Linked DNA regions of Alligator mississippiensis. The protein of the gene in region 2 interacts with the protein of the main gene of each other region in a pairwise test. Links are inferred from orthologs where the notes say so. Each region holds a gene or a part of one and is shown on either strand. Other genes may lie near its edges.

Evidence for each region.
Region 1: the proteins of WWP1 (region 2) and ARRDC1 interact in binary tests that used the Homo sapiens proteins (3 or more experiments, as listed by UniProt). The link is inferred for Alligator mississippiensis from reciprocal best matches to the Homo sapiens genes WWP1 and ARRDC1.
Region 3: the proteins of WWP1 (region 2) and CPSF6 interact in binary tests that used the Homo sapiens proteins (3 or more experiments, as listed by UniProt). The link is inferred for Alligator mississippiensis from reciprocal best matches to the Homo sapiens genes WWP1 and CPSF6.
Region 4: the proteins of WWP1 (region 2) and ENTREP1 interact in binary tests that used the Homo sapiens proteins (3 or more experiments, as listed by UniProt). The link is inferred for Alligator mississippiensis from reciprocal best matches to the Homo sapiens genes WWP1 and ENTREP1.

What each region holds. Positions count from the first base shown.
Region 1 is NC_081835.1:51,725,653-51,733,538, reverse strand, and holds the start of ARRDC1 (arrestin domain-containing protein 1), read right to left. Parts: upstream 3,127-7,886; 5' UTR 3,011-3,126; coding exon 2,893-3,010; intron 1-2,892. UniProt on the Homo sapiens protein: Functions as an adapter recruiting ubiquitin-protein ligases to their specific substrates. Through an ubiquitination-dependent mechanism plays for instance a role in the incorporation of SLC11A2 into extracellular vesicles.
Region 2 is NC_081826.1:49,485,672-49,493,463, reverse strand, and holds the start of WWP1 (NEDD4-like E3 ubiquitin-protein ligase WWP1), read left to right. Parts: upstream 1-4,673; 5' UTR 4,674-4,837; intron 4,838-5,297; exon of another isoform or gene 5,298-5,394; 5' UTR 5,395-5,417; coding exon 5,418-5,600; intron 5,601-5,603; exon of another isoform or gene 5,604-5,622; intron 5,623-6,186; exon of another isoform or gene 6,187-7,792. UniProt on the Homo sapiens protein: E3 ubiquitin-protein ligase which accepts ubiquitin from an E2 ubiquitin-conjugating enzyme in the form of a thioester and then directly transfers the ubiquitin to targeted substrates.
Region 3 is NC_081827.1:69,658,040-69,666,016, reverse strand, and holds the start of CPSF6 (cleavage and polyadenylation specificity factor subunit 6), read right to left. Parts: upstream 3,288-7,977; 5' UTR 3,193-3,287; coding exon 3,133-3,192; intron 1-3,132. UniProt on the Homo sapiens protein: Component of the cleavage factor Im (CFIm) complex that functions as an activator of the pre-mRNA 3'-end cleavage and polyadenylation processing required for the maturation of pre-mRNA into functional mRNAs.
Region 4 is NC_081826.1:193,661,531-193,669,455, reverse strand, and holds the start of ENTREP1 (endosomal transmembrane epsin interactor 1), read right to left. Parts: upstream 3,410-7,925; 5' UTR 3,391-3,409; coding exon 3,082-3,390; intron 1-3,081. UniProt on the Homo sapiens protein: Functions as an activator of the E3 ubiquitin protein ligase ITCH in the ubiquitination of the CXCL12-activated CXCR4 receptor. Thereby, triggers CXCR4 endocytosis and desensitization, negatively regulating the CXCL12/CXCR4 signaling pathway.

The DNA.
Region 1 (7,886 bases), on a different chromosome or scaffold from region 2:
GGGGGGGGGTTAGAGTCAGACAATTTGGGATTTTTTTAAAATCAGAGAAAACCAGGATCCCTGTTGATAATGCAAGGGGCTTGCTGAACACTACAACTCTGACCTGTTCATAGAGGCAGGTCCTCAGGAGAAGAGGAAGAAGTTGGCAGGCTGGGCTGGGAACAGGAAGCAAGGGGCAGAAGTCAGTGAACACTCCATTAGGAATCTCTCACTCAGAGGAGTGTTGCTAGGAAGTGGCATTCCCCAAGGAGACTGTTTTACAGCCAGAGCCCATAATTTACTGGGAGAGGAATTTAAGCAAAGCCTTCTGGAAGCTCAGAGATCCAGGTGCAACAGGAAAAGTATTTAAAAATGTGGGCATACCTGCTCACATAGGCCAGTGACTGCCTAGAAGGCTGGGTGCTTTCCAAGCAGAGTCAATTGAATTAAGATCTCTGCCAACAAGGGATTACCAGTCTAAATTCTTGGGAAGGTTTCCAAGATGTAGAGATGGAAGCAATAATTGCAAGAGAAGTGAGCAAGACTCAGACTTATAGAAGGAAAGAGATTTTGCATTTCTATTGTACCAGGGATGAAGTACTTCACAAGGACTATCTTCTCCCATTTTACAGTGAGAAAAAATAGGTACAACACATTAAATTGCTTGGTCTAAACATCACATGAACAGCTCATGGTGGAGTGGAGGTAGAATCCAGACTGCTTCACTCTTCTACCCTTCTCAAGTTTCCCTAAAGCTTTCCATCACTGTCAGTATAATGCAAAGTTCATAGAGTCTGCAGGACTGACTGTCCAAGGGATGGCAGAAGGGTCAACAAGATTTTCAATAAAGTCAAGGCACCTGTCCTCACACCACAAGCACCAAAGCAGCTTAAATCAGCACTAGAAAAGATTTATTCCCTTTCAAGCAAAACTGCAGATTCATTAGTCTCCCCTCCCACTAAAGACAGGGCCTTGGAGTTAGTCTTGACAACTTCCCAGGGAGAATTCCAAATAGGGGTTTCACAACAGCAAGGATCTAGAAAACTGAAACAATTCAGGACTCATTGTAAATATGCTACAACCAGAATTTTACAGTTTTAAAAAGCAGGTGCCTCTTCTCAGTTATAACCTGCTTGTTTGTATGGTTATCAATTCCTAGATTCCAGCCAGTGACTAGCACAGTGTGCAGCCTAGGTCTTCTCAAGTCCACTTCACATGTAACCCATTTCCCCAATGTCCAAAGAAGACTCGGCTCTGGCAGCTCAAGGTCACTATGTCCACAGTCTCTAAAAAAGTGACAAGACTTACACTGCCTATCACTTTGGTTGGTCACGGTCACTGTAAACAAGATACTTTTTGCTGAATGGCTTAACGACTTCTGAGACCACCACAACACCGTCGCCTGCTCAGAGCTTTGGAAGGCACTGAACCACATGCAGGAATTAAAGGATGCTGGAAACCCGAATGCCAGGCTCTGCCTTCCAGCTTCACAATTTGTCAGGTCTCTTTAACCTCATACTTGGATAAATACAGTAGTCAAGTCAGCCTAGCCCAAATGTATTGACACTGTTGTGAACTAAATTTCCCCCCCCCCCCCTCAACCTTTAAAGAGGGAGGAGACAGAAATAAGTAAATAAAAAAATTCTCTGTCCCCTCCCTCTTAAAGGAGGAGGCGGAGGGAGGGAGAGATTATTATGCAGATTATATATAATCTACCTTTGCTCTTCCCCCTTTCCCAGACTTTCCAGTACCCCTTTTTCTTTAAAAATGTGAAATTTCAATTCAGAATTACAAGCTCAAGGTACTCCCCTTGCAGCTGCTTTTGATGCATCAAAAACAGCTACATTTAAGACTGGAAGGTGGAAAAATTAGATACTAGGGCAGACACCCACACACACAGTTTGGCCTCCTTCCCAATAGCAAACAGCTCCTTTTGGTTGTAGTTCAACTGTTTTCCCCTACAGTTCATCTCAGCTTGCATAAAACATGCTCTAACTGCGTGTTATGGCCATGGACATAAAAGGCGGGTTAGTTTGGCACGTGACCTGGGCACCTTTGGATTTTTAACTTCCCTCCGGTCCCACTCAACACAAGTTGGGACCAACCAGCAATAGGTCAGAACTCGGGTCAAGCTTCCTCCTGCTCAACAGCTTGAACTAGCAGAGAGAAAGGGTTTATCACACCCGCTTACTTGGGAGTTCTTGTGGATCCTCTGCCACACCTGCTCTGGACACAGGTGTCAGGTCTAACCGAGTCTGGGAATGGCTGGTTCCAAACCCTGGAAATCTGTGACTTCAGGGCAGGTTGGCTCCAGACCACCATCCCCACCCCCACGGGAGCACAGCTGAGCTTTACCCTCAAGCACATCAGCCCCTACCTATGCTGGGGCGCAGCGAGCAGTAACAACCCCCCACCCCCAACAGCTCGGTGCCTTCCACACCTAGATCCAACCCAGCTGGGAAGCAGCCAAGCCACCCTCGCCGCAGGGATCCCAGCCTCAACCCACAGCCATTAGGGCTGGAAAGGACCTCGGAAGATCATCGAGTGCAGCCCCCTGCCCCAGGGCCAGCAAAGACCAAGGGAGCCCAGCAAGATAAGCGTCTCAATGTTTCTTTAGAGAGTAGGTGCTGCAGAGGGGCCCGGCTCACGCGCGCGCGCGCGCACACACACACACACACACACACACACACACACACACACACACACACACACGCGCGCGCGCGAACCGGCCGAAGAAGAAACCCGCAGGGCCGCGGAAACCACGGCTGGGACTTCGCTGCCTCCCGCCAGGGTTAGCCGGCTCGCCGTCAGCACGCACGGGTCTCGGCAGGCGAAGTTTGACGGCAGGCGGCTCCCGCCAGACGGGGGCGGCGATGGGGGCGCGGGGCCAGGCGGGCGGGGGCCGGCACTCACCGCGGTACTGCAGGGCTCCGGACAGGCGCACCGTGACCGAGCCGGCCAGCGGCTCCCCGGGGCTGTAGATGACCCGGCTCTCGCTCAGGCGGACCTCGAAGAGCTGCACCTTCCCCATAACCGAACCGGCCCGGCCCCGGGGCTCCGCCGCGCTGCAGACGAGTCCCGGCTGCTGCCGCCGCTGCCGAAGAAGAAGCTGCTCTACCTGCTGCTGCTGCCGCTCCAGCGCCCGCCCCGGGCCTGCCCCTTAAGCAGCCGGCTCCGCCCCGCCTCCCCCGGGCGCAGGGAGCCGCCCCCGCCGGCCCGGAGCTCCGCACCTCCACCTCCCTCTTGCTGCCTCCCGGGGCCCCTTCACAGCGGCTTCTGCGGCTTGAGTGGTGGGCCCCCAGCACCCCTGGGTCAGGAGTCACCTGTCCTCGAGGCACGGCGGCCTGGAAGCAGCTCTGTGCGCCGCTGCCCCGGCTCTCCTCCGGCCTGCCTGGGTTACACTTCACCTGAAAACCCCTTCTGCAGCTCGAAGAAGCAGTGGGGATTTGATGCTGGTACAAGGCACCTCCTGGCTGGGGCACGCCGGGCAAAGGGTGTGTAGGGAGGAATCGGTGAAGATCCCAGCCTGGCTCCGCGCCACTGGGCGAGCGTAGCCCACATCTCGGATTTTCAGGGCTGAAAAGCGAGTCCGGACTGGCCGTGGCCTCCTGGGTTATCAGGTCCAGCCCCCTGCAATCACAGCCGGGCACCTCGTATAATCTACTTTATAAACAGGGTCAGGCCAATTAGTGTGTTAGGGGCCAGGAAGGAATTTCACCCTGTAGTCAGGCTGGCATGGACTGGGGGAGGGGGTTGCCTTCCTCTGTAGCAGCAAGGGCCTCTACCCAGGATCTCTTGAGCATGTACTGACAACGTTTCACAGAAGCAGGACGCCGGCTGCTGTGGATCCCCTGCTTTCTGTATGGCATGTTAGGGTGCTCGGTCTGCGCTGTGTCAGGGTTGATGGCCATTTCATGTACGGTTTAGATCAGGGCTGGGCAAAATATGGCTTGTGGGCCAGATGCAGCCTGTAGTTGTCTCTATTTCCTGGAAACCTGGCTGCCACCACCAGCCCCACTCCCCCTGGGGCAGAGCTGGGATGCACTCCCTGCCAGCAGGGCCATCCCTAGGTGGGGGACAAATCAGGGCGGCTGCCCCAGGCCCCGCGGACAGTGCCATACAGGCCCTGCCACAGCCACTTGCCACCTTACCCACTCACCACCCCTTCCCCCCCACTCAACGCTTCGGACCTTCGCCACCCCTCAACTCCACACAGACTGATATGCCCTGGGCCCCGCATACCCCTAGGGACAGCTCTGCCTGCCAGATCCAGCCCTGCTCCCTGCAAACCCCTGCCCACAGAACCAGGCTCTGCCCCAGCCCCACGTGGTCACGGCCCCACAATCCCAGGGTCTTCATGGAGGCTGGATGGGAGCCCTGTGAGCAGGGCACGCCACTGGGCAGGGAGCTGCTCCAGAGCTGGAGCCGGGGCCGGGGCTGAGGCTGGGGCCAGGATCCTGGGGCTATGAAAGCATGCAGCTGGGGCCGGGGCAGAGCCACAATCTGCTCCCTGCACACCCCTGTCCATGCAACCTACGCTCATCACAGGGACGTGTGGACAGCAGATCGCGGCTCTGTCCCAGCCCTGAGCCTGTGCTGTTACTGCCCCAAGATCCTGGGGTCTCCCTGTCCCTGCTCACCCATCTCACTCCCAGCCACTGCCCCAACCTAGCTGCCCAGCTGCATGCCCTGCCTGTGCGGGTCCTGCTCCCAGTGGTGGGTGCAGGGTGGACAGGCCGAGCTGCCCAGACAGTGGGGCTGCGGGCAGCAGCAGCAGCTAAAGGAGCTGCCACCACCAGCGCTGCCAGGAAATGGAGTCTGGCTGCAGGCTGGATCCACCATTTTGCCCACCCCCAGTTTAGATGATGGACTGTATGAGGCGGTTTGGATAGGGATGATCTGCCTGCCTCGGGCAGGGGGTTGGATTAGATGTCCTCTGGTGGTCCCTTCCTGACCAACTTCTCTATGACATGGTTCTATGCTATAAACTGATAATGCTCAATCTTAAAAAGAGTTGGTGGTATTTGCTCCATTGCTCCTATTGTGAGCCGTTCCAGAGGTTCATTGCTCTGATTGTTAGATATCTGTTTCCAATTTGCAGCCTCATTTTATTAAGGGCCCATTTACACCCCTGTGAAGTTGTGCCAACATTCTCCCTCAGCTTAAAATAGGTCTTCCACCACTGATTTATCTATAGACAGCAGTTATGACCATCCTTTTTCAGGATTAAACAAGCCAAGCTGTTTAGTTGTGTCTCATCTGTTCCTCTGATCATCCTGCTAGCCATGCTTTGCATCTGTCCAGGCTACCTATTTCCTCTGCCTCTGAGACTGTCAAGAAACAAAGGGGAAAGCGATCAAGAAATGCTTGTTGTGAGTGTGGTTTCTCTGACAAGTGCTGGTACCCAGGGCAAGTAACTTGAGACCCCAATCCATGGGGTCCCATGGTCCACCCAGGAGCCATCAGACAGGGGCAGCTGTTACTTCCTGACTGGCTGGGTCCATGCTAGGGATTAAGGGGTTGTATTTATTGGCACTGCTTCTTAAATCTCTTGCAATTGCACCAGTCCCAAGGCAGACCCATGAACGGTCTTGGTGGTATGAGCATAACAATCCCCTTGAACCAGCTACTCAAATCCATCTGTAGTGCCTGTCACCAGAAGGGCACCGAACATTTTGGCAATTAAACCACTCCAAGTTGGATGATGGAAGTAAAATTACAGACAGGAAAACGGGGGGATTGAGAGGTGACTGACTTGCCCCAGGCCAAAGTACTAGTAAAAAAGCAGAATCAAGAATAGGACCTAGAACAGGGGTGGGTAAAATGCAGCCCACGGGGCAGATGCAGCCTGCCAGGCCATTCTGTCCAGCCTGCAGGGCCCCTAAAACATGTAGAAAATTAATATTTATCTGCCCCTGGCTGACTGTCACGCAGCCCTCGATGGCTTGCCGTAACTCAGTAAGCGGCCCTCCGCCTGAAATAATTGCTCACCTCTGACCTAGAATGAGGGACAGCATCTTCCTGATGCCTCCCCCCTGCTCCTTCAACCAGACAGGCTCTATATATAACTCCACTACTAGAAGGCCTAGAGTTTTATTCCTGTTTGTAGAAATACAGGAGCAATTTTTTTAAATATAGATTGCTCAAAATTGATTCTTTTCCCTGGACACACTAGGGTACATGACTGGAGTTTGCTTAGTAATTTACCTGACATAACTAGATGCAGATCATTTTAACATGTTTAACCCAGTGACTGCCGGTTCAACAGCTTCTTAGTTGATTCTGTTTTGCCCATGGGGTATGGATTCATAAGTATGCATATTCATATACCTAATTCTCTGCTTACCTGTAACCCTGTTACATGCACTGAAAATACATTTGTTATCTAACTGCACACAAGAAAGAGAAATTCATAACCAGAACTGGTAAAAAAAAAGGGTGTTTTATAAACATTTCTTAAAGATTTTACAGAACTGTTGGACAAATATTCTCAACAGACCTTTCAGTTTTGAAACATTTTGGTTTGCATGTATTTGGGGTTTTTCATTTTATCCTTTGCTTGTTTTGTTTGATGCAAAAGAACCTAGCTTCCTCTTTTTAAAAAAAAATTTCACCGTGGCTCTTTTTATTTCATTTAAAAAAAACAAAAGATGGAGGAGCTAAAAAAGTGGGGGAAAAAACAACCCAGAATTTCCCCCTCAAAATCTGAAAACAAAGAAAATAATTTGGCAGTTTCATCATAACCCAAAAATATTGGGGAAAATTAAATTTCTACACATGCACAAATACACACACATGAATGCACAGTGAAAAATAGGTGTCATCAAATGCCAGTTTTGTTTTCTGTACTGTTTTGTTTTAAGAAAGGAAACCACCTTGACTGCATCTATTATTTACAACCTTTGGGACCAGAGACACAAGCTTCTATTGAGGGAGTAGAGGGGGCAGGTGTCCTACTCCAGTACGAGAATACCGAGAGAGATTTGAGAAGGACAGCTGTCAGAGCAACCTATTTTTATGATATTATCTCTCTCTCCAGGAAACGGGAACAGGAAGGAAGAAAGAAGGACAATTTCAATTTGCCACAAGAGCTTCTTATGAATCAGATGTGGTTGTCTCTTAGCTAGATCTGCTTGCACAACTTGAGCAAGTTCCATAACCTCCCCTTGCTTCAGTTTCTCTATCTATGAAATGGGGATGATAATACCCACCTCACAGATAAGGCTTTAAGTCTGAATTTATGAATGCTTGTGATGTGTTTAGAGACTTTGTGAAGACGCATTATAGAAATGCCCCTAAATAACTCCATCATGACTTACAGGCATATACACACCAGCCAGCTATGCAAACTGTTCAAGGTGATGCAATATTTCTTCATCATACGATTATTTCCACCTGATTTGTGGCTCCTGAGATATGTGCAATGTTGGAAAAGTGAGACCAGCTCAGAGGGTTTCATGTATACTGAAGAGAGCTGTGCACAATTTCTTGACCTGGTATCTTTTCTGGACTGTATTAATGCTAGAGACAGCCAGATGCTGTAACAGGACTCCTGTATCATAAGCCAGGCACGAGAACTAATGAGAGGGTGAGAGAAGAGAAGTTCTAGTACAGCCAAACCCAAGGTAGCTATTGTGTAGAGCGGGGCTGAATTAGGCCTCTAGATTTATTAGTCTTCCCCAGTATGAAAATGCTCACCCTTAAACACTCAGAGAGATAACGACTTGTACTTCTCCAGATCTTTTCTGCTTCTTGGCAGACAAAGGGATATTCCAGGTGAGGCCATGCTTTTGGGGTGTACACACACACACACACACACACACACACACACACTGTAACTTTTCCTTTCTCGTTTCCTTTCCCCTTTTCATCACCTTCTCACATCTCAGCTGGTGGATTGACCAATC
Region 2 (7,792 bases):
GTTTGTATACAGAAGACAGAGCCCTGTCTGACATCAGAATAAAACGGCTAGTCACCACTAGCAAATTGTGATTTACATACAATTTACTTTAACAAAAAGAGAGTTTGATGTGAATTGCTACCAACAGATAACCCAATGCAAATAATTCCTGGCTTCAAGGTGCTGCAACAAGCTGTTTTCAAAGACTATGAGGATCTGGCACACAAACCTTGCTACATGGTATAGCACGTAGTTACATGAAAGGCACTTACAAACTCATTGCTGTTTTCACTAATGCAGGGAGGGTGAATGGCAAATTTGAAAAATGAAAACATACTTCCTAAGTAGGAGACAATTTTGGAGGGAGATATTTGAATAATGTAATTGTAGGTTTTATGCACACATACTTATAAAATTAAGTTTCATCATTGCCAATCATTTATCTCCGTACATACATGTTCCCACTGAAAAAAATTGGGAAAATATAATATTTCTACAGTCATAGAGGTTAGAAATATAGGCCCAAAACATTAAAATGGAAGTTAGCTTGCATTTTTCCAGGACAGCATTTCTGAAAAATGTGTGCTTCAGATAATTATTTCTCAGTTACCTTAAAAGCAATTTGGAAAAGCATGATGTGCAAAAAAACCCAAAACGCAATAGAGCACAAAAATTATATGAGGTTGCAAAGTGAAAGGATGACAGAAAAGCCATGAATAATCAAAACTAACTATTGATTTGGGTGTTCTAGCTTTCATGTTGTATGAGCTTCAAGTAACAAGCTCCTTTTGGAAAAAGAACATATAGTTGAAATGTAGAGAAATCTTCCTTTAATTTTGTTAAATACTGTTTTTATAAATAAACTGAATGATGTTGGCAAAATAAGCCAGCCCAATTTAGCAAACTGATGGCTGACCTTGAAACTTCATCAGGGTGGATTTGATTTAAATCAAATTGATTCAAATCATAATTTAAATCACTGGTCAGGAAGCCTCGACTTAATCATTATTTTCTGCAAAAAAATGCATTCTTGTTCAAGATCCTCTGTTCATTTAACTTCTTGAAACTTTGTACTTTTAGACAGAGGTAAGGGCTTGACCATGTGTATGCAAACTTGTAGAGAGGCAACAGGGCTGAAAGGTAGGTAATCAGATCTGTTATCTCTCATCTTCATATACTGTTGCTAACAAGGATGTTATTTCTGGAGACACAAATCTACAGTTTGATAAGTGAAACTAAGCATCACAGGGCATGTCTAAACATCGCCCTACAGCGACATAGCGATTGTGCGGGTCTACATGTGATCACCAGCTAAGCTGACGTAGTGGCCCACTCCCCTAGTATAGAGTGATGCTACGGTGACATAGTAACAAAACCTAACCGTGCACCGTTTGCACAGCATAGTAACTGCCCATACTGTGCTGTGCTTTAGGACTTCTAAACAAAAACTTCACCGATACTGTATCTAATGCTGCAGTCCTTTCTTGGGATAAACTATTGTCTGAATCTGAGTCAATTAAATATATAAAGATTTAGGTGATTGATATATTGATAATAATATAGTAAGGCAACTAAGGAGTCATGCTTTCCTTCTGCTTTTCAGAAGATTTCCATAAAAAAAATTCTATCCATTTTTAAACTATACTATAGAATAAGAGAATTATAGCTTCTCCCTAGATTTACATGGAATGGTCCAAAAATTATAGGAAATGTTTTAAATTCTAGATTAAATTCTGAGTTTCTTTAGAATCGTATTGGTTTTGTTCCTATGAAATATTAGACAACTTTTCCATAGCAGAATGTGAGATGAACGGCACACTTTGGACTAAAAGAATGTCACTAGAATCACCCCCAAACTCACCTTAATCTTCTACATGAGTAAAAGAAAACTAGAGATATTCACTGAAGAGAGAAGGAATTATACTGTTCCACACAACAATCACAGGACATCCATTCTACAGACTTGTTAAGACTAGCATTGCCACCCAACCCTCAGGCAATTTTCTTTACTGGTAAGGATGTAGGCCTATTGTATGAGACTGTGCTGCTTTTCTCTGTGCTCTGGATGAAACTAGGAAGGAAATAGAAAGGTGGTCAATAATATGTTTGTTCAACAACCAGACAAGCAGAAGGGTGAATCTATAACAGCAACATACTAAGCACTTAGCTTGTAGGTTCTTTATTTGACCTTGAATTTCCCAGATTTAGAATCTGTGAAGCCTAGTGAGTGAATGCTATATAAGAATCTAATATTAATTAAGCTCGTGGAGGCCAACTCCAACAGTAATATACCACTTCTCTAGGATTTACTTTCCTAGCCAATTATATTTGTTACGTTTGTAGTGTTTTCAAGCTTTAAGATGCTAAAAGCTTCAGGCTGATTTATGGTTTCACATCTAAAGCATGTGAAACTTATCTGAGATTAGCATTAGATTTTTTATTTGTCCAAAAACAAAACTCAAAGAGAGTTTGGCAAAAAATACACAAATAAAAATAAACATGCATATAAAAACTAGATTTTCCCCCAGCAGCAAGTTTGAGATTTACATCCAGTTAAGTTACAGGAAGCAAATTCTAGCTGTTTGCACCCAATGAAGTGATGCAGGCAACTAATACTGAAGGTCCAAGCATACCATATTTCATCTTAATGTCACCATCCTGAATCACTGCATACTGGGACTTTTAGTTTTTGCAGGCCAAAGCACATTATAAAGGTTACATGTGATCTACAAAAGGGGGAAAACCGGAACCCACAATTTTCTCTTTGCTTTTTCAAGTTCATGCAGGATGACATAGACTTGAAATTTTGCAGCTTGTTTTAAAAAATTAAGGCTCCTAAATGGCAAACATTTATACACATACTTTATTATACTTGCTAGCACAGTCCTCAAAGCAAGTCAAAACAAAAAAAATCCTTCAGGTGTTTTATGCTTCACGTGAAAACAAAACATCACCACAAGCCTATTTTTTAGAAGCCAGCTGACTATTACTTTCAGAACACATTATGGGTACCCTTTGCATGAAGCTATCCATCCAATTAAGGCAGTTATAAGACAATTTAGTGCATAATATGAAGAGGTGGACGTAGGGAAGAGGCAAGCAAGCAAGAGGTATCAAGTACTGTATGTTAAAGTATTTTTTGTAAAAATATACTTTAATTAAAGGCTATAAGGGGACACCCCATCCAGAACAGCATTTCCATGTATTAATTAGTCTGAACAGTTTGGTCTATTCACACTAATTGCAAACTCCTTGGGACAGGAATGGCATCTTATTTTTGGACATAAATGAAAACATTAACCACATCTGCAACAAGCAAGCCACTGCAAAGTCATGAAGTAGAGCTAAAAATGCTTATTAACACAAATTACAGATGCAGACCCCAAGAGCAGAGTCAGAAAACAGGGAACTCAATTATAGGGTACAGATTTTAGAACAAGTAAAAGGATGAATACATAGTGTTAGGTACCTTAAAGGAAATTTTTTTCTTGTGGATAAGCACTTTTTCAAAAGAACAGACACAAATTCAGATAGATCCCATTGGAGACCATCCTGGAGGCTCTGCAGGGCTCCCATCCCACACCTCACTGCTCTCAACCTTTTTCAACATGAGGCACCCTCCACGCTTGTGAATTGAGGGGCACTACATTTAAAAAACTAACTTCAGCGCTCAACTCCTTGCACAGAGGGCTGGACTGGGCTGGGCAGTGAGAGCAGCCCTGCCCTGCCCTGCCTGTGCCTGCACTTATCTGCTGGAGTCCTGGTGGGAGGCACCCTGGCTGGGGCTCACGGCTGGGCCCCATGAGACCGGCTGCTGCTCACAGTGCAACAGCTCAGGACAGAATTTGGTTTTCCTCAACCCCTTAAGTCAGTTTGCTGTTTCCCTTAAGGTAGGGCTGTGATCTATGAAGCGAAGGCTTTGGGTTAAAAACAGGCCTTGGGTTTGAGGTGGCTGTGACTGACCCGAGCCCAAACCTGTGACACAAGAGCAGCTGGCCCTTCGGTTGTGCCAGCAACAAGCTGGACTGAAACACCCTGAGTGCCTTTCTCTCCCTTCCTGTGCCGGGCCTTCAGGTGGGCCCAGGGGCTCCTACTTCTGTAGGATCCCAGCACAGGGGGAGAGATGTCCTGCCTGGGACACTGCTTTTGCCTTCCGGCTCTGCAGTCAGTTTATTAGGATTTTCAGGTGAGTGATCTTTTTCTGGGCATTGTTTGCAGCAGATGTGTGACCCCGCCCCTCAGACCCCGGGGGCCTGCAAGGACCCCCACCAGGGCCCACTGCGCGAGCCCCCTACCCCGGCTCCCTTAGGGGCTGAGTCTCCGCTCACTGAGGTCTCCCTGCGAGGCGGGGATAGCTCAGCACCCCGCCCCGGGACCCGCTGCTCGTACCGCCCCGTCCTCGCGCAGGGCGGCCTCAAACCAGGACCTGCAGCTTGAGCGGGACTGACCCTGCTCGTCCCAGCCCGCCCCCCGATATGGAAGTTGGTTCAGTCCGGGGCAGGCGGTTACCGCACTCTTTTCCCTTGGTTCAACCCTTCCCCCCCACAGCTTCGAGGAAGTTGGTTGCGGCCGGGCGCTTAGCCAGGGCGGTTGTGGTCGGGCCCGACCTGTCCGCGCGCGCGCACGCAGGCGCTGACGCAGGGAGGCCGGCGCGTGCGCGCTCGGGGCTCGGCCGTTGGGGGGAGGGCGGCGCGGGGCGGCCCTGGCGCAGGGGCGGCCGTGGCTGTGGCGGTGGCTGCGCGCGGGCCGCCGATGCCGCCGCGGTGAGATGGCAGCGCCCAGCGAGGCGGCGGGCCAGCGGCAGCGCGGCGCGCACGGCTGAGGGGACGCGGCGGCGGCTGTCGAGCTGCGAGCCACGGTAGGGACATAAACAGGACGGGGCGGGACCCCATGCCCGGCCTGTCACGGGGGTGACAGCGGCTTCCTCCGCTGGGGGGAGCGGGGCAGCCGCTGCCCGGGCCGGGCCCAGCGCTGGGGCGGTGCCGGGCTGGGCTCGGGGTCGCCGTGTCAGCGAATAACCTTGTGTGCTCGGGCGGGGGAGGGGAGCCCCGGCCGCGCCCGCCGCCGCGGTGGGGCCCTGGGCCCTTACCTGGGGGGACAGGAGGTGGCAATGTGGTGACATCGCTGTTTTGCTCCCCTTAACTGGGGAGCGGGGAGTCCGCTCTGCGGGGATGTCCCCTGCAGCCTGTCATCACGGCCCCTGGAGGCACCAGGCTCTCCCGCAGTCTCGCAGTGGGGGGGTGCTCCTGCCCCTGCTCAAGTGGGAGATCTGATGATAGCTCCAGTAGTCAGGCTTTTAAATGATAAAATACCCACAGATTGCTAGAACAGGCCCCAGGTCGTTGCTTTTATTGTAAAAGGAGCCTGGCGTGGGTTCCCCCAGCGTGTGCGGGGCTGTAACTTCATTCACCACAGAAACAAGATGCGCCTCCCACTGTATGCCATCAACTAATTGCGCTGCGCTCCTAATCGCGTGCTCCACGAGCTTCGACGGCCGGCCCATGCGGATAAGAAAAAGATCATATGGATGCATGAGAGTCCTTCAGCCTTCGGACAAAGTTCTGCAGACAGTCCCAGAAGTTGTGTTCCTCTTTCCCGTGTGGGTTACTGCTTGGATAGAGGTGACCAGAAGGGCTTACTTGGGTATGAATGTAGGTTAGACACAGTGTGCTAATGCCTATTTTACTACAGCAGTTCTCAGCCAGGTGCCGTGACACCCCCAGGTGCCTTGAGATCCTTTCAAGGATGCCTTGTAATGTTAGGACTATTAGGCATGTGAACATGATTCACAAGATAAACCCAGAGATTTCAAATAGGAATCCATAGTATTAAATACATTCTGACTTGTTACGATCAAGTTTTTTGCAACAGAAGAATTACTTTATTATTTTTTTAAGTTTTAAAAAAAAAAAAAAAGGAAAAACTAAGTTGGTATTTTTTGAGCAGTGTCTTGAGTCTAAGAAGGTTGAGAACCACTAGTTTACTAGGTTGTGTTACCTTATGTTGAAAGTGGGCTAGCTAGTAAGATCTGTGATGATTTGTATGTGTGAAATAAAAATGGATGCCAGTGACCCTTTATAGTATAAAGGCTTATACTTTGTTTATGACATGAACTTTTGTAAGTGAATGAACACATTGACTAGTGGTAATTTGTTAGAACCTTTTGGAAATGTATAAATGGTAATTCTGTGACTTTTTTTTGATTAGAGAAACCAACTGGAAGACTGTTATCCTTGTATTGAGGGACTGCTGATGAAGCCAGCTAATGTGAAGTCAGCTAGACATAAACTCTGTTAATTTAGTGTTTCTGTGATTAAATGAGATTCAAGGAATGTTCACAAAATGAAAACTTAAACTATGCTTTTTGTTGTCAATGATCCCCAGATCTTAAAAAGAACCATGGAGTTCTTTTTTGGGACAAAATAAAAGAAGAGGAAGGAGTACCCGTCTGTTCCTTCCCATCTTTCATTGTGTCATGGGGCTGCCACCTGGGAATACTCGCCACGTCACTTTTCTTCTCCATCTTTACTCTTTACTTTGCAGGAAAGGACAAGATGTGTTCTCCAAGCCCTTCCTGTGTTACTTTTACTGCCCACAGCCCAGATTTGAGGTGGGAATGGGCAGTACATCCTGTCACTTCCCTTCTCTCTCTCAAACTCTATAGTAGCTAATGGCCTGAAATGAAAAAAGTTTTAGTAACTATGGATTGACAAATTAAACTGCAACTACTAAATAAAAAAGGATATCAGTTATAAATTAAGGGCAGGAACTAGCTGTTGGGTGTTGCCTTAAAAATGCAATTCTGAACACTTAGAAAACTTTTGGTTGACCAACTTGGTAAGAAGCACATCCCTCATTAAAGCTGAAGGCACACATAGGGATTTTAAGGGGTTAAGGCATAAAAAAAAAAAAAATAATAATTTCCCACATTCAAAAAAAGCTTTCCAAACTAAGTGGGGTTCTAACCTATTGGCTTTTCAACTAATGCAAATTTCATTTAAGAAATACTAGATTGTTTTTAGGTCTGCTTCAAGTTGCACCTGCAATTGGTGCAATCTTCCTGAGTTTGTATAAAGTGGCTTGAGTAGTGGGAAGGTAAATGAGTTGTGGTCTGTTTCCCTAGTTTCATTACTCATTATAAGATTCTGAATAGCAGCTATGAACTTACTAAGAATCCTGTCAGTTTCCCTGTTTTGCATTTGCTGAAAACTATGAACTGACTTTTACCAAATTGATTTTGTAAAGGATCAGATACCAATCTTAGCAGAGAGCAAAGCACATGTAGATGTCATTGAGACAAAGAGGATAAAATATGGCCTGGTGTATTAACTAAACTAGATATTATATATTTTGCTGTAATTTAGGAAGAAGGAAAATTTTGTGTGCCCCCCTCTTTTTTTGAATCTCCCACATTTTTGCTTTCTTTCTTCCTCCATACTTTTTCTTTCTTTTTTCCTCCCCTCTCCTTTTTCTCTCTACTTCTTTCTGAATCCCACCACATTTCTCATCCTATATGCTTTCCTGTTAAATATTGCAATAATTCATGTTGACTTATAAAAGGCTGCTATAGTTTCACTGTGTTGTTCACACCCCCATGTAATGGGCATCAGGATAGTTCATACCTCTTAGCCCTTATTTCAGACTATGTTCAGACTTGGATAATACTGTATCAGTTATGTACGGGTTGATGGTGTGTATGTGGGAGCAAGAGTAGAAGAGGAAGCATTCCACTGGGAGGGCTAGAAGATGACAGGTTAGATTTGTCATGTTCTGTTTTTGAAATCTTATTATAAAGCAAAGTGATATTCAAAAG
Region 3 (7,977 bases), on a different chromosome or scaffold from region 2:
AGAAAGTGAACATGAATAAGGAGTAGCATCAAAAGGTGTAAAAGGTAAAAAGATAGGGACCACAGACAAATCACAGAAGATAAAAGCTAAGCATGGTATATGCTGATGGATCTATGAGACACAAGAATACATCCCATTTCAGGAGAACTTGTATTTCAGAAAGTCTCCTCCTCACCAGATTTTCAACCTTAGCAGGAATAACTGTTGGCTTTGTAAGTTTACTGTACTGAAGGACAATCTTTTGAAAGCTTGAGTTTGTAGGTAGGACCATGAGCAAATGCAATTGTGCTGAAACAGCTTGGGTGAATTTCTTAAGCACAGAAAAATAAGAAGTAATGTCCCACAAGCCTGTATGCTGCTTCTAATTAGTCTGTTGGAATCTTCTATTACAACAAACCATGCACTGTCACCACAAAAAATGTAGAGAAGAGGTTTACAATATTTTGATTAACTAGAATTTCTTTTAGCTCTATTAATCCATAGCTGTCAGTACCAAATTAGATCATAACATTAGTAAAAACCGAGAATGCAACTAGACTAAATAATTATGCAGAAAGTACATATACTAACCATAGAAAAGCAGAGTCCAGTCAAAAAGCTTCCTGGACATTTGCCATTTTACTGGGATCACATGCTCACAACAGAAATAGCTTCCCAAGTTTTATGACTGTTTTGAGTGGAATTATCCCCTAAAATTTTACTTACAAGATATCAGAAACTTTTCAGAAGATATTTTGAAACGTTATCACTAAAAGGAAAAATTATATGGAAAATAGCATTTACTATTTGCAAGCAAAAATAAATCTGCTGCAGAAAGGAAGACATGCAAGGCGAGACTAAACCAAACAATACAGGAAAGGTGCATCTTAAGTAGGAGCCCTGAATGAAGTACAATCAGAATGTATTCATTGATGCCATTGCTCTGACTGGCAGACTTATTGCAAAGAACACCCAACATATACCCACCACCTCTGTAAAACTGAATCACACAGATATACTGCAAGAAACTGGATAAAATCAAGGTCTCTTCTGCAACCATACAAGTAGCAAGAACGTCAAATATTTGCACCATTTTTCCAAGCAATCAATTACCTACTTTAATGGCTTGAATACAAACAAATTTGCACCAGTTTACATTACACTAGTTTAGTCAAATAGTGCAACATTGCTCTTGGACATACTTCTTTTAGCATAAGAGAGGCTTTAATTTGGTTTAATGGGAACCCATTCTAAACTAAACTAAACAAGAACAAAACCATTCCCATTGGGGCTTGCACCACTTAAAATCCACAATCTCCAGTAAGGTAAGGCAAGGGGGTTTCAACCAGGACATGCTGATGTTTTTGATGGCACTGAGAAAACAATTTCCCAGCTAGAAGGTCCTGCACTGCCACTCAAGATCATACCAGTAACAAAATTCAAACCCAGCAAAAACTTTTTGTCTGGGCCAGATTAGGAGATCATTGGGGTTACTGCTTTTCTCAACAGCATGGGCATGATCCTTCTCCTAGGATCTTCTGTATATATTAACCAACTGCTTCCAGGTTAACTTAGTAGCAGGGATAAAGGTTGTAGCCATGTTGGTCTAAAAGTACAAGCAGCCAGTGTGGTAGAAGTGGTATTTTTTATTAGACCAACTAAACAGTTACAATTTTTTTTTTTAATTTGCAAGCTTTAAGGCAAAGATTGTAACATTTCTCCCAGGTAGAGTGTCATTGTCGTCCCTGCTTCTACCTATAGCATATCACACAGCGTTCTTGGTATTGTTGGTATGATGCCTTGTAGCAGAGTGTAAGGGGCTGAGGATGACAATGGGGATTTCTCGGGATAACAAACGCAGGCAACTTGACTCTATGGCCCAGGGTGTCCCTTCCACATTATACCAGTATATCCTTCCCATTTAAACAACCCAAAAGTCTTAAATGAACAAACCAGTCTTCTCTATTGCCTGCTTGCCTCACAGTTTGCTACTCTTCCGTAATATCAAATTTTAAAAATGACCTTATTTTCTGAAAAATATCCCAAGCCTCTAGATATTGATTTAAATTTTGGGACACAATTTCTTCTCCAACCACCACTCCAATACAATCCCACAGTCACCTCCCTCCTCCTTATCGCCTGAGTCTCTATGAACCTCCCTCTGCTTATACACCCACTGCCACACATCAGCTGGTCAGTGAGTCTGGTCGATCTGCTGAGGGCAGATTCTTTACTTGATCCCTTGTTTTGCAGAAAGGAACAACGCAGTGGGGGACACCACCACACATGAAACCACCACTATGTTTCTTGAGGTAACTGCAGCTGTTAGTGGGGTTGGGGGAGGCCCGCTCATGCATTTCAGTAGGGACGCGCAGGGCAGTTTGCACTTTGTTTTCAGAGGGGGAGAAAAGACTGACACATTTCAAAGAAAATCCAAGTGTCTGTCAGTTGAGGTGCAAGTGAAAAGTGCAATAACAGCATCCCCATCGCCAGGGGGCCAAAGGCACCACGGGGCTATTTAAAAGAGATGCGGGGAGTCTCTCAGGGCTGCCCCACTCCTGAGAAGACCTGGGGCAGGTCTGCCTTTCTGGGATTGTTTTGTTTCAGTGTTTGTGCAGGGTGGACCAGCACAAGGCCAATCCCTGCCCCTCGAGCCTCTGGCCTTTTAGTAGCTCAGCAATTGAGCACCTCAGGCCTCCTCTGCCATCCCCCGGAGGCGGCTCCTCTAGCCGGGGCGGCCACTGGTCTGCCTGAGCGGGCGGCGGGCGGCGGCCGGGAGGCAGCCGTGCTGCTCCCGCCTCCCCGAGCACCGCGCACCTTCCCGCCGGCCCGGACGCGGATGAGCCGCGGGAGGTGGAGCCATTCCCCACCTCCCTCCTCCGCCGCCACCAAGACCCCGGCACGGGCAGGGCCAGGGCCAGGCGGAGAGGAAGCAGGCAGGCCGCTGCTGGTGGCTCCCGCTGCCTTCGCTGCGCATGCGGCCTGCGCCGGCGGCCTCCCACCGCGGGAAAGCAGCGGCCGCGAACAATGGCGGCCGGGCCGGGCCGGGCCGGGCCGAGCTGGGCCTCCCCGCCGCGGGCCCGGCAGGCGACGCAGCCCCTCGGCCGGGCTGGGGAGGCCCGAGGGGGAGAGGCGGAGGGGAGCCGCGCGCACCTGGTTGAACTCCTCGCCCACGTCGGCGTAAATGTCTATGTGGTCCACGCCGTCCGCCATGATCCCGCCCGCACCTCGGGCCCCGCCGCCAGCCGCGCCCGGCTCTAGCGCTGCCGCCTCCGCGGGGAGAGAGGGGGGCGTGACGTCACTTCCGGAAGGCGACAGGCCGCTTCCGGCTGCTGAAGTAACCACTGCTGCCCCGCTGCTCCGCCTGAGCCCGCCCTCGGCCGAGGGGGCTTGTGGGAGGGCGGGGGCGGGGCAGGCCTGCGCGCACCGCCGCCCCCCACCACCGCGCGGGGGGCACGTCACCCTGAGAGCGCCGTCTCCAATCCGGACAGGCCCCGCCCCCTCCCGAGCTCTCCACGCCCCGCCCCCTCGTCCGTCAGCCCAAGTATTGTCCAGGGCTGGGGGGGTTGTCGCGTGTGTGGGGATTAATTCCATCCTTGTGCTGTTAATATTAAATAGTAAAAGCGTTGAAGCCCAGGGGAGCCCCGCTGGCCTCTAACTGCCCTGCACAACATGGAGTTTCTTTTCTACTTGCATCAGGTATCCAGGTTGTAGCGGTATTGCTCTAGAAGAAAAAACAATCAGGACTCGGAGTAGAGAAGGTAGGTATCTTTTATTAGACCAGCAAGATTTTTGCAAAAAAATTTCTTTAATTGCAAGCTTTCGGGCACAAACACCCTTCATCAGGCATCAAAGAAAAGATTGTAAAAGTTCTCCTGGGTAGAAATGAAAGTTCGTATTTCGTAGGATTTCACAGAGGAGTCAATAGATGGAAAACTCCTCTGGGCAGTCGGTTCATAGCTGGTATGGAGCCTCTCGCCTCCTGTGAGATCTGTGATGAGGATGCAAATCACCTTGAAACAAAGGATCTCAGGTTTCTGGTGGTCACAGTTGCTAGCTGCTTGGGAAAATATGAAGATTTAATTTAAAAAAATCTGGATACCTGATACATGGAAGATATCAAATTTTAGCTGATTTTTTTTCATATATGCAGCAAGAAATCATGAGGTTAAATGTTGCGGTCAAATTCATTAAATAAATCTTCTTCCAAAGAAGAGCTGTAATGCCTTATTTCTTGAGTTGCTGTCCAGTGTATGAATTGTTACCTAATGTTAAGCTTAGCCCTCTTACCTGGTTCCCAGAGTTAACATTTCTAGAACCCAGAAATTAAGTGTAATGGCTAAAATAAATTGAGTCCATTCTAAACAATACTGAAATTTCCTATTTAAGAGAACTATCAGATCTACAACCTGTTCCAAAAACTTGGTATTTCACTTAGAAAAAAAAAAGTCAGATAAGGTGATCTCGGTCTTCACATTTACCTTGGTCTTTACAGCCAAGGTCAGCTCCCAAACTACTACACCAGGCAGCACCGTTTGGGGAGGTCAGCATCCCCCAGTGGTGAAAGAACTGGTTAGGGACTATTTATTAATATTGGACGTGTACAAGTCCACAGGGCTGGATGCAATGCATCTGAGGATGCTGAGGGAGTTGGCTGAAGTGATTGCAGAGCCACTGACCATTATCTCTGAAAACTTGTGGCAATTACAGGGGGGAGGGGGTGGTCCCAGATAATTGGAAAAGGGCAAATATAGTGCCCATTGTTGGGGGATAACCCTATATGGCTCACATGTGCCATTTGGAAAGGGACCTGGGAATATCACTGCCACCTACCTCAGGTGTTCTATCCTTGCCTGCCACATCTTGATGGAACTTCTTATCAAAAGGTGGATGTAGTATGAAGGCAAGATTCCACTGAGTCCTCCAAGGGTTTTCTTCACAGGACTCCTCTTCCCCTTACACCCCGTCCTTGCTATCCCACATCAGATGGCAAACGTCATGGTCTGGATCCTGCGTGGAACAGCTGTACCTCCGGCAGCTATTCATTGGCTTAATAAATGGTTGTGTTTGTATACTCAAATCACTTGATTCAGGCACCACAAGGCCTCCAACTTTAGTCAGTTCCCAAGAGACCAAGGATCAACTTCACTATATCAATTCATTGAATAGTCCATCAAGCAAATAACTTAAATCAATTTTCCTCCAATTCATGGGACAATCACTCCCAGTCAAGTAATTTAAGGCTCACGAGACAATCAAATTAAATTCCCTGCACATACACAAGACAGACAATGAAAATTGGTTTGCCAGGAACCTTTAACTTGATCAGTCTTAAATTAACACCTGTCCTCCATGCCTGGTTTTCTTACTGGTACCATGGCTCTTAATCAAACTACCTCCCCTCTGGCTTGGCTTTCCTGGGGTGGGACAACCAAGGTTTCTGCAGGGTAGGGGCTCTTCTCTTTCTCCCTGTACCCCAGTGCAGTGAGGAGATGAAACAACAAAAAAACAACCAACAGGGAAAAAAAAAGGGTGGGGAGGCTGTACCTTCAACAGCTTCCGGGCTCATCCAGTGATGACTTTCCCTAGTCTCTCTGTCTTTGCTGGCTCCTTGCTGTGGTCCTCACTGCCACAGCCCTCTGCTCACCAGCTCCTCACCATTCCCTCATGTTCTGCTCTTGGGCACAGATGGCTTTAGGACTCTGTGAGCTGGGTAGGTCTCCAGCATCCCCTTGCCTAATCCATCAGTGTCCTCTCCCAGCTGCCCCTCTCTGGGACTGGAAATATTCTTCCTCAGGCTCCCTCCACCAATCCAGAGGGAGCAGGAACTATGGAAGCACATCTGCATCAGTCTTGCTCTGGTCAGGGCCACTCCCACACCTGCAGTGACTATTTCCCTCCCCCCCTGCAGTAACTCAGGCCCTCTTTTCTTTTACTTTCTCACACCCATCTTTAAGAAAGAGAAGAAGGAGGATCCAGGGAACTACAGACCAGTCAGGCTCACCTCAGTCCCTGGAAAAATCATGGAGCAGATCCTCAAAGACAGGACTGGTCCGTCCTATGCTGCAAAACCTGCGGCCACAGGGGACCCCACAGCTAAGGGCCCTCCTGAGTCCAGCTGCTTGCCACCCCTCCCTCCTGCCACCAATGACACTGCCACCACCGGCTTCATGTCTGGCCATTCACCACCCCCCGCCACCACTGGCTTCTTTGGCTGCTCATCGCCCCCCCTCCCCCCCCCCCAGCCGCCACAGGGGGCCCCAAAACTATTTCTTGCAGGGGGCTCCCAAAAATTGTGGGCTGTCCCTGCTCAAAGAATCCCTTCCTAAGCAATTGGAGAAGAAGTTGATTAGGAACAGTCAGCATGGATTCACCAAGGGCAATTTATGCCTGACCAACCTGATTGCCTTCTATGATGATCTATGGCTCTGTTGATGCAGGGAAAGCAGTAGACAAAATATACCTTGACTTTAGTATGGCTTTTGATACAGTCTCCCACAGACAGCATTATTTTAAGCAACTGAGGAAGTATGGGTTGGATGAATGGACTGTAAAGTGGATAGAAAGCTGCCTGGATTGTTGGACTCAACAGGTAGTAATCAATGGCTCGATGTCTATCTGGAAGCCAGTATCAAGTGCAGTGCCCCAGTGGTTGGTCCTGGGGCCAGTTTTGTTTAATGTCTTCATTAATGATCTGGAAGATGGGATGGATTGCACCCTCAGCAAGTTTGCAGATGACACCAAGCTGTGGGGAGTAGTAGATACACTAGAGGGTACGGCTAGGATTCAGAGTGACCTAGACAAATTGGAGGATAGGGCCAAAAAAATTCTCATGAGGTTCAGCAAAGACAAGTGCAACGTTGTGCACTTAGGACAGAAGAATCCCATGTACTGCTACAGGCTTGGAACCAACTGGATAAGCAGCAGCTCTGAGAAAAAGACCTGGGAGTTACAGTGGACAAGAAGATGGATATAAGTCAGCAGTGTGCCCTTGTTGCCAAGAAGGCTAACAGCATACTGGGCTGCATTAGTGGGACCATTGCCGGCAGATAGAGAGAAGGTATTCTTCTATAATATTCCACTCCATTCTGCACTGGTGAGGCCACATCTGGAGTACTGTGTCCAGTTTTTGGCCCCCTACTATAGAAAGGGTGTGGACAAGTTGGAGAGAGGTCAGCAGAGAGGGACAAAAATGGTTAGAGGGCTGGGGTACATGACTTATGAGGAGAGACTGAGGGAACTCGGCTTATTTAGTCTGCAGAAGAGAAGACAGAGGAGGGGATTTGATAGCAGCCTTTAACTGTGTGAAGTGGGGTTCGGAAGAGAATGGAACTGGACTGTTCTCAGTGATGACAGATGAGAGAACAAGGAGCAACAATCTCAAGTTGCAGCAAAGGAGGTTTAGGTTTGAGATTAGGAAAACTTTCTCACTAGGAGGATGGTGAAGCACTGGAATGGGTTACCTAGAGAGGTTGTGGAATCTCTATCCTTGGAGGTTTTTAAGGCTGGCTTGACAAAGTTCTGCCTGGATTGATCTAGCTGGGGATGGTCCTGCGTTAAGGAGGGGGTTGGACTAGACTAGATGACCTCCTGAGGTCCCTTCCAACCCTAACTTTCTATGATTCTAAGGCTTTGCTGAGAGATAGACACTGAGATATTAACTGGACTGTTGAGTAAATGAGTAAATTTTGAGACTAACAGTGTTATTTCTCACCACAGATAAAAAATACAGATTGAGCTCTGCATAAGCCATGTTTGAATAAAACAACAGCACTTCAGAGAAGATCTCTCATATAAAAGTGTTAGATATCCATATTGGGAAAAAGGTGAAAGTTTTGCCATTATATGAAGAAGCCTTATAAAGAAGGCTTATATAAAGAAGCCTACTGAGATCCAAAGTAGGTGCAGTCATTTATTTTTATTCTATGATCAATTGGTCCTTTACATAATAAAATAGGTTCAATGCTATGAACTTTAGTGTTTTTACATACATGGAGA
Region 4 (7,925 bases), about 140 Mb from region 2:
CAAACCACTAACCACTGTAATGAGACTTTAAGTAACAGTATGAACTTCAAATGATTATTACTACTCATTATTTTTGCAAGACAAATGGTAAACCAGATGCTTTACAGAACATACAAAAATATTATATAAAGGGTTCACTTTGTTATAAAAGCAATCACAGTCTATTTATGTAACACTTAGCTCGTATATAACGGAGAATTTCAAAGTGCTTCACAAACACTAATGAAACCTTTGTTAAAACGCCTCTGCAGTGAGGAATTGTTATTATATCTATTTTATCAATGGGGAAACAGGCAGAGGGGTTAAGTGGTTTATCAAAGGTCACAGGCAAAGCAGTAGCACTGCTGGACCAGAGCCCTGACTCCCCTAGCCACCTGCTTTAAACAAGTAGGCGTCAATCTTGCAAGGAATGGGAAGATCCTCACAACCTGGATTGTACTGGACTGTGAAGAGTGGTTTAAAAAAGGACTAAAGATTCACAGATTCACACATTCACAAAAGCTTAGGGCTGGAAGGGACCTCATGAGATAGATCATTGGGTCCAGCCCCCATCTTCACTTCATGCACACAGAGCCAAAATGCTCTGGCTTTTTTGGGTGGAATAAACTTCATATTTAACACATATTAAGTAGACTGTTATAGACAGATGAATCACTTGAGTGTATTCTCTCATTCAATAAAAATATATTATTTCTATATTTTCCATACGTATTTTTTTAAAGTTAGAGGCGTTGATGGTTCCTAAATCAAGTTCTCTAAACTTAGGAAATGCCAGAATTAAGGTTGCTTCTGCGCTCTTTGGTCTGTGCATACATATCTATATTCATCTCTCATTACCTGGCTTAGCTTTTGTGACCCCTTTTTTCCTGTGGGGTCTTTGCTTGTACGCATCTCCCAGTACCCCTTCCCCCTCCTGCTTTCCTGTGTTTTGTATTCTAATCACTTGTTCCACTTTATAAGGATCTAAGAATTGCCATTTACTGGGTCACAGCAAAACACCATCTTGCCCAGCTTCCTGTGTCACATAGTGGCAAAGAGTAGATGCTGAAAGGAAGAGTGACCTGGGTATGAATTGTTTTTTTCCACTGTTGCTCTCTCAATTACAGCCTCCAGCACTTAAGGTCTAAGAAGTTCTGATTCAGAGGTGGTATCCCAAACTCCTGTGTCAACAGCTACTGATGCCCCTTTCCTCCAAGAATCTGTCCAATCCCTTTTGAATCTGACTAAACTGTCAGCTTCCACCGCATCTGATGGCAACATGTGCCAACACACTTTAATGATGCGTTGTATGAAAAAGAGCTTCCTTTTTTTGCTCTCAACTTCCCACCTCCTCGTTCCATCTTGTGACCCCGAGTTCTCATCTGGTGAGAGAGAGAGTTATAAATCCCTATTAGTTTTCTCTTCGCCATTGTGTGTTTCATAAAACCTTATCACGGAAACCTGCCAGGCTCTGCTCCGTGCTGTCCTTTCCCAGCCTCTGAATGAAGTGCACTTGGGTTCACAGAATCAGAAGAGAAGCAGGGCTGCAAGGGAGCTCCAGAGGTCACCTTGCCCAACCCCCTGCCTGAGGCAGGATTATCCCCCTCCAAACCATCCCTTAAACATCCATCATCAAAACTCTATACAAAATTGCTGACAACCCTGGTGCAATGCAGCCTTAACACCCTCACCTGCCACAGGTAAGGCAGGGGCAGCCAGCATCCTGCTGTCTCCATATGTTCAAGAGATCCTAACCCTGCCTGTGCTACAGAGGAAAGCAAAAAAGTCCACCCGGTTTGTACCAAGCTGGGTATAAGGGGCAGTTCCTTCCTAACTCCAAATCTGTCCAATGGTGGGACCCTGAGCAGAGCCCTCTAGCCAGGAAACACCAGGTTTAAGCCAATGCCAAGAGCACTGGCACAGCCCAGTGGCTGCAGCCGGCACCCAGGGGGCTCTGAGGGTTCAGGGGTGCTTGTGCCCTCTCTCTGGGCATAGAGCTGTGGCAGGTAGTTGGTGTATGAGAGTGCACAGCCACACAGCCTTCTCAAGACCCCCCCACACACACACACACAAACAGCCCGCCAACACACCCCCAGCCCCCCCACAACTGCACACACATACCCCAAGCCCCCCAACACACACCCCAGTCCCACACACACATTCCCCCACCCACCCACACCTCCCTGAACACCCACATACACACACACTCACCCCAGACCCATACACACACACATCTACCCCAACCCTCACATATACACTCCCTAGCCTCCCCACCCATACACACGCATCCCCCTACATATACCCCCCAACCCCCTACACACACACCACCCCCCACCCCATACACACACACACACCTCCCAGCCCCAAACATACCTTCCAGCCCCCACATATACACACACATCCACCCTTGCCCCTTACATATACACTCCCCAGCCACCCCCCCACACAAATCCCCTCTACATACACATCCTCAGTCCCCCCCCACACCCCCTACACCCCCAGCCCCCACATATACACACCCCCAGCCCGACACCCACCCCAGCCCCCACATATACACACACCCCCACTCACCCCAGCCCCTGACATCCACACTCCCCACCCCCCCAACACACACAGCCCAGCCCCAAACACCCCGCCTACCCCCCACACACCCCAGCCCCACACATACACACCCACACCCCAACCCCCCACACACATTCCGCCACCTTCCCACACACACCAGCCCCTCACATCCAACCCCCCCACACACCAGCCCTACATACACACTTCCTGCCCCCCCACACCCACCCACCCCAGCCCCACATACACACTCCCCAGCCCCCACGTACACAAACACACACACACCCGCCCCTCACACCCGTACTCCCCAGCCCCCCGACACATCCCAGCCCCAAACACTCCCCCACCCCGCATACACCAGCCCTACATACATACTCCCCAGCCCCCACATATATGTGCACACACACGCCCCTCACACCTGCACTCCCCAGCCCCACGACACACACATCGCAGACCCAAACATAGCCCCTAACCCCCACACAGATCCCAGCCCCACCCCCCCACCTACCCCAGCCCCTCAGACCCGCACCCCCCGGCGCTCACCGCGGAGCCGGCCCAGAAGGGACAGGCGCTCTTGACGCGCGCGGAGCCGCTGAGCGCGAGCGCGCCGAAGCTGAGCGCCACGGTGCCGCAGCCCAGCACGAGCTGCAGCAGCCCCAGCGACAGCAACGGCCGGGCCGGCAGCAGCAGCAGCAGCGAGCCGGGGCCGGGGCCGCGGCGGGCGGGAGCGGGGCGGCCCCAGCGGGCCCGCAGCGGCGGCGGGGCGTCCGCTGAGCCCGGGGCCGCCTGGGGCACGCCGGCCAGCCCGGGCACGGGGCAGCAGGAGCCCGGCAGCACCACGGGCAGGGACATCGCGGCGGCGGCGGCCGGCCACACGTTGCCTCCGCCCGGCCCTGCCCCTGCTCCGCAGGCAGGCGGACACACAGCGCCTCCCTCGCCCGTGCCAGCCCGCCCCCACCTCCCCTCCCCGCCGGGCCCGCTCCCTGCCCTCCAGTTCTCGCCCCGGCCGGCAGGCTTAGACCCCCCAAACACCAGCTCCCCGCTGTGCCCCCAAACCACCTCCTCCCCCCACTCTCACACACACACACACACACACATATACACACACACACACACACACACACAGCCTCTGCAGCACGATGCCACGGGCCAGCTCTTCCTCCGGAGCAGCCCCGCGAGGCACGGCTCCGAGCACCCCTCTGCAGTCCGAACTAGAAGCTAAGTACTGGTGGGGAGGGGGGGCAGCTTATATTCAGGAGCATCTTTTATTCGAGTAAATACAATAGGTGTGTGGCTGACAGTCCTTGTCACCTTATTCTGGACGAGATTTCTGAAGAGTATTTTTTAATTCAGCAAAACAGTTTTTCCTCTCTCTCCCTTTTATTCACCATTTCTCCTTATTCAGAACACTCACGGATTCCCTAAATTCTTATGTTCTCTCGGTTTTCCCCCTTGCCCCCGCTGTCCCTAAGCACCGCCCCGGTGCCCTCCTGTGTCAGGCCACTTCATAACCCCCTCACACACACACACGCACGTGCACACCATGCCACCAAATGCCTCTCAAACATGACACATGGTGCTGCAGGTGTCCCAACGACAGGTGTCCTCTTTTTTTGGAATTGGAAATTTGGTAACCCTAAAGGCTAGGCACTTTTACTGGATTGTGCCAATGCTCCTGCTGGGACTAAGGCTGGAGGGTCTTGCCCCTCTGCTTAGGGTCAGTGTTGCGTCAGGGTTGATAGTAGTGTCACGTAGAGCTTAGATTACTGTTTGTATGGGATATTTTGGATAGGGATGTTCCTGCCTCAGGCAGGGGGTTGGACTAGATGATCTCTGGAGGTCCCTTCCCACCCTACTTCTATATGATTGTATGCAAGCTCTTCCTTGTACCCCCTACCGCAACCCCATATCCTAAACTCTGGAGCAGCCCAGTCCTTGTGCCTGGTGGCTCTTTTAACACCCCGCTCCACTGTGCAGACCCTGAAGCACCTCTCTTGTGGCCCCCTGTGTCAGGCTGCCCTATAACACTCTGTGTGTGTGTGTGTGTGTGTGTGTGTGTGTGTGTGTGTGTGTGTGTGTGTGTGTGTGAGAGAGAGAGAGAGAGAGAGAACTCTAGCTCCATCCCAGCCATTCCCTGTCCTCACTGTCAAACCTGCCCCTAGCCAACCTGCCACACTCAATCCTCACAACCAAAACCCTCACCTGCCACTGTTGACCACTCCCTACCACCAACCCCTCTTTGCTGCCTATGCTACACTTCCACTCTCCCAACAAACAGTATTTGCTGGTTCCACTTACTGCCACTGTTTGCAGCCCCTTCCCCAAGCTATTTGTTCTTGCCCCCAACATCTCTTTGCTGCTGCTGCAAACACTGATCAGTCTACATAAGCTTTTGCTTTTGTTGGCCACACTTTCTTCTGCGTCACTCTGTTTTGCCCTCCTTATTTCTCTTTTGCAGCCACCCCCACCCCATTTTTTCTTTTGGTCAGTGTTGTTATCTAGAGTGAGCTTGAAGTTTTAAAATAACTCAGCCCGGGAGGAGGGTGGGGCATGCAACTGGATTGCATTTCGCATTGTTGGCTTTCTTCCCAATAGGAGGAGGAGATTTGGCAGAAAGTAATTTGTGTGTGCATCACTTTGTAATGCTGTCTGAACAAGGGGCACAGGAGGCAGATTTCTCTTTCAGGTGAAGTAGCTCATCCCTCTCCTTTTCTCTGCTGTTTCTTATTTACTAGACCAATTATTTTCAACCAGGATGTTGCGGTGCTGTGGGGTGCTATGTGATCTTTTTAAGGGTGCTGCAGGTTGCCATACAAATTTGAGGTCTGCAAACACCTACACATGATTCACAAGATAAAGCCAGAGATTTCAAATAGCAATTAAAAACATTCTGACCTGTAATGATCTTTCTGAGTTCTTTGCAACAGAAGACTTGCTCTATTTTTTTCTCTAGTCAAAAATGAGTGACAGCTGAGAACTGGCATTTTCCAAGGGGTGCCTTGAGACTCAGAAGTTTGAGAACCACTGTAATAGATGAACTTCAAGAATTTGTGTTCTTTAGTTCTGCTTGTTGAGATGCTGGGAGAGAGCAGGTGCAGGCCAGGCCTTTCATTCAACAATGGGTTCCAGCTCAAGTTTAAACAAGTTGGGCAAGCCTGGAGATGAGTTAGAAAAATAGTTAATAACAGATATGGAAAACTTACCTATCTAGGAGAATGTGGACACATCTACACAGGCAATTAATACACATGAATAAACTCTGGAGTTTATTGCTCCAGAGTTTTTTTGCCCCCAGGCACACCAGTTGGATGTGTGCCCAGGAGCAAAAAACTCTGAAGTATATTTCTCCAGAGTTCATTTGTGTGCAGGACACCAAGCCTGGTCGGAGCAGCCCCAGCTGGCAGTAGCCCAGGGCTACTCCGACTGGGCTCACTGTGCTGCGTAGGGGCTGGCTGGGGCACAAGGGTGCTTCAGTGCGGAGCTAGCCAGACAACAGCCCCCACCCTGAAGCAACTTCATGCCCCAGCCAGCTGGGCAGCAGCTACACATGTACTGCTAAGCATGAAAAAACTGTGCAGCAGGGTACTTGTATTTACAGGGTACTTGTATTTACAAGTACTAGCCTGCTCCACAGTTTATTAGTTTCATGCACCCTAATAGGGGCACACCTGTAGATAGAGACATTTACTGTGGAGCTAATTAGGCAGTTCTGCAGTAAACTTCTCACGTAGATGTACTCTGTGCCACCATAAAGGTGGCATTGGTTCATCTAGCAGCACTTGTCTGTGCAAAAAGTAAGAGTTCTCATCTAGGATGTTGTCTCAGGCCTACAGCACAGTACCAAAAAGAGAAGGAGCTGCAGCACTAGAGATGCTTACCTTTGGATGAAACCCTTGTTGCCTGTCTCTGCTGACTGCCTATTTGAAAATTAAGGATGTCTTGAAAAGAGTACATTATAACTTCACTGTTCAAGTCCTGAACCCACAATGAAGTCCATATAGGTTAATAATTATTCTATGGACTATTTTCAAAGATCAGGGATTGAGGTAACATTTACTCTCTCAATAATACATTCTAATGCTCAAGGTTCTATATATGAGCTAGAGCCAAGTGCTACTCCTGCTGCACTGGACTGCGCAGTCACTGCACACCTAATACCTAACTCAGTCACTACTTTGTAAACAGCTTAAGTGTAAAGGCACTATATAAAAATAAGTTCTGCCTACATAGATACCAGACTTTGATTATTATTTACAATCCATTGTCTGATTTTTTTTTTTCACCCTGCTCCTGGTACATGGAAATAACATTGCTGATATGACTCACAGTTTAGTACCTCTTCAGATTTAGCCCCAGATGTCTTCTGGTTGGCACAGTAAGGAAGGCATTGAGAGCACTGAAGAGAGTGTCAGTCTCTTAGGTCTTATTTGTAGTGTCATTTTGAACCCCGGTTGACAGAGGAGCAATTGCAGGAAAAGCCTACTCAGACTGTCATTGTGGAGTGGAGCATACTCAACGAAGACTGGAGCTCGTGATTTTTTTTTGGTGAATAGTTTACTGGCTGAATTATACAGTTCTGAGTTAACTGAAACTTCATAGATTTCATAGACATTAGGGCTGGAAGGGACCTCGGAAGATCATCGAGTCAAGCCCCCTGCCCAAAGGGCAGGAAGTCAGCCGGGTTCATAGGATCTCAGCAAGATGAGCATCCAGTTTGCTCTTGAAGGTGTTTAATGTAGGCGCTTGAACCACCTCCAGTGGCAGGCTGTTCCAGACCTTGGGGGCTCGGACAGTAAAGAAATTCTTCCTTATGTCCAGCCTGAAACGGTCTTATAGTAGTTTATGACCATTTGACCTAGTCGTCATCCCTTGGGGCGCTCTGGTGAACAAACGTTCCCCCAGATACTGGTGGTCACCCCTGATAAACTTATAGGTGGCCATCAGATCACCCCTGAGCCTGCGCTTTTCCAGGCTAAAGAGCCCCAGGGCTCTCAGCCTGTCATCGTAGGGTCTGCTTCCCTGACCTCTGATCGTGCGCGTGGCTTTTCTCTGGACTCTCTCAAGCTTCTCCACATCCTTTTTGAATTGTGGAGCCCAAAACCGGACACAGTACTCCAGCTGCGGCCTCACTAAGGCCGAGTACAAGGGGAGAATGACGTCCCGGGATTTGCTTGAGAAGCATCTATGGATGCAAGCCAGCATTTTGGTTGCTTTACTAGCCACAGCATCTAGGCTCATGTTCATGAGCCTGCAGTGAGAAAAAAAAATCAGCAATTAGTTTCTGTTGAATTAAAAATGAAGGGAAAATTTTTACAGTTAAAACAGTTATTTCAACATTTCTGAAAGAAATCCTTTCCTTTTTTGTGTAATCAACTGCTAAACATAGG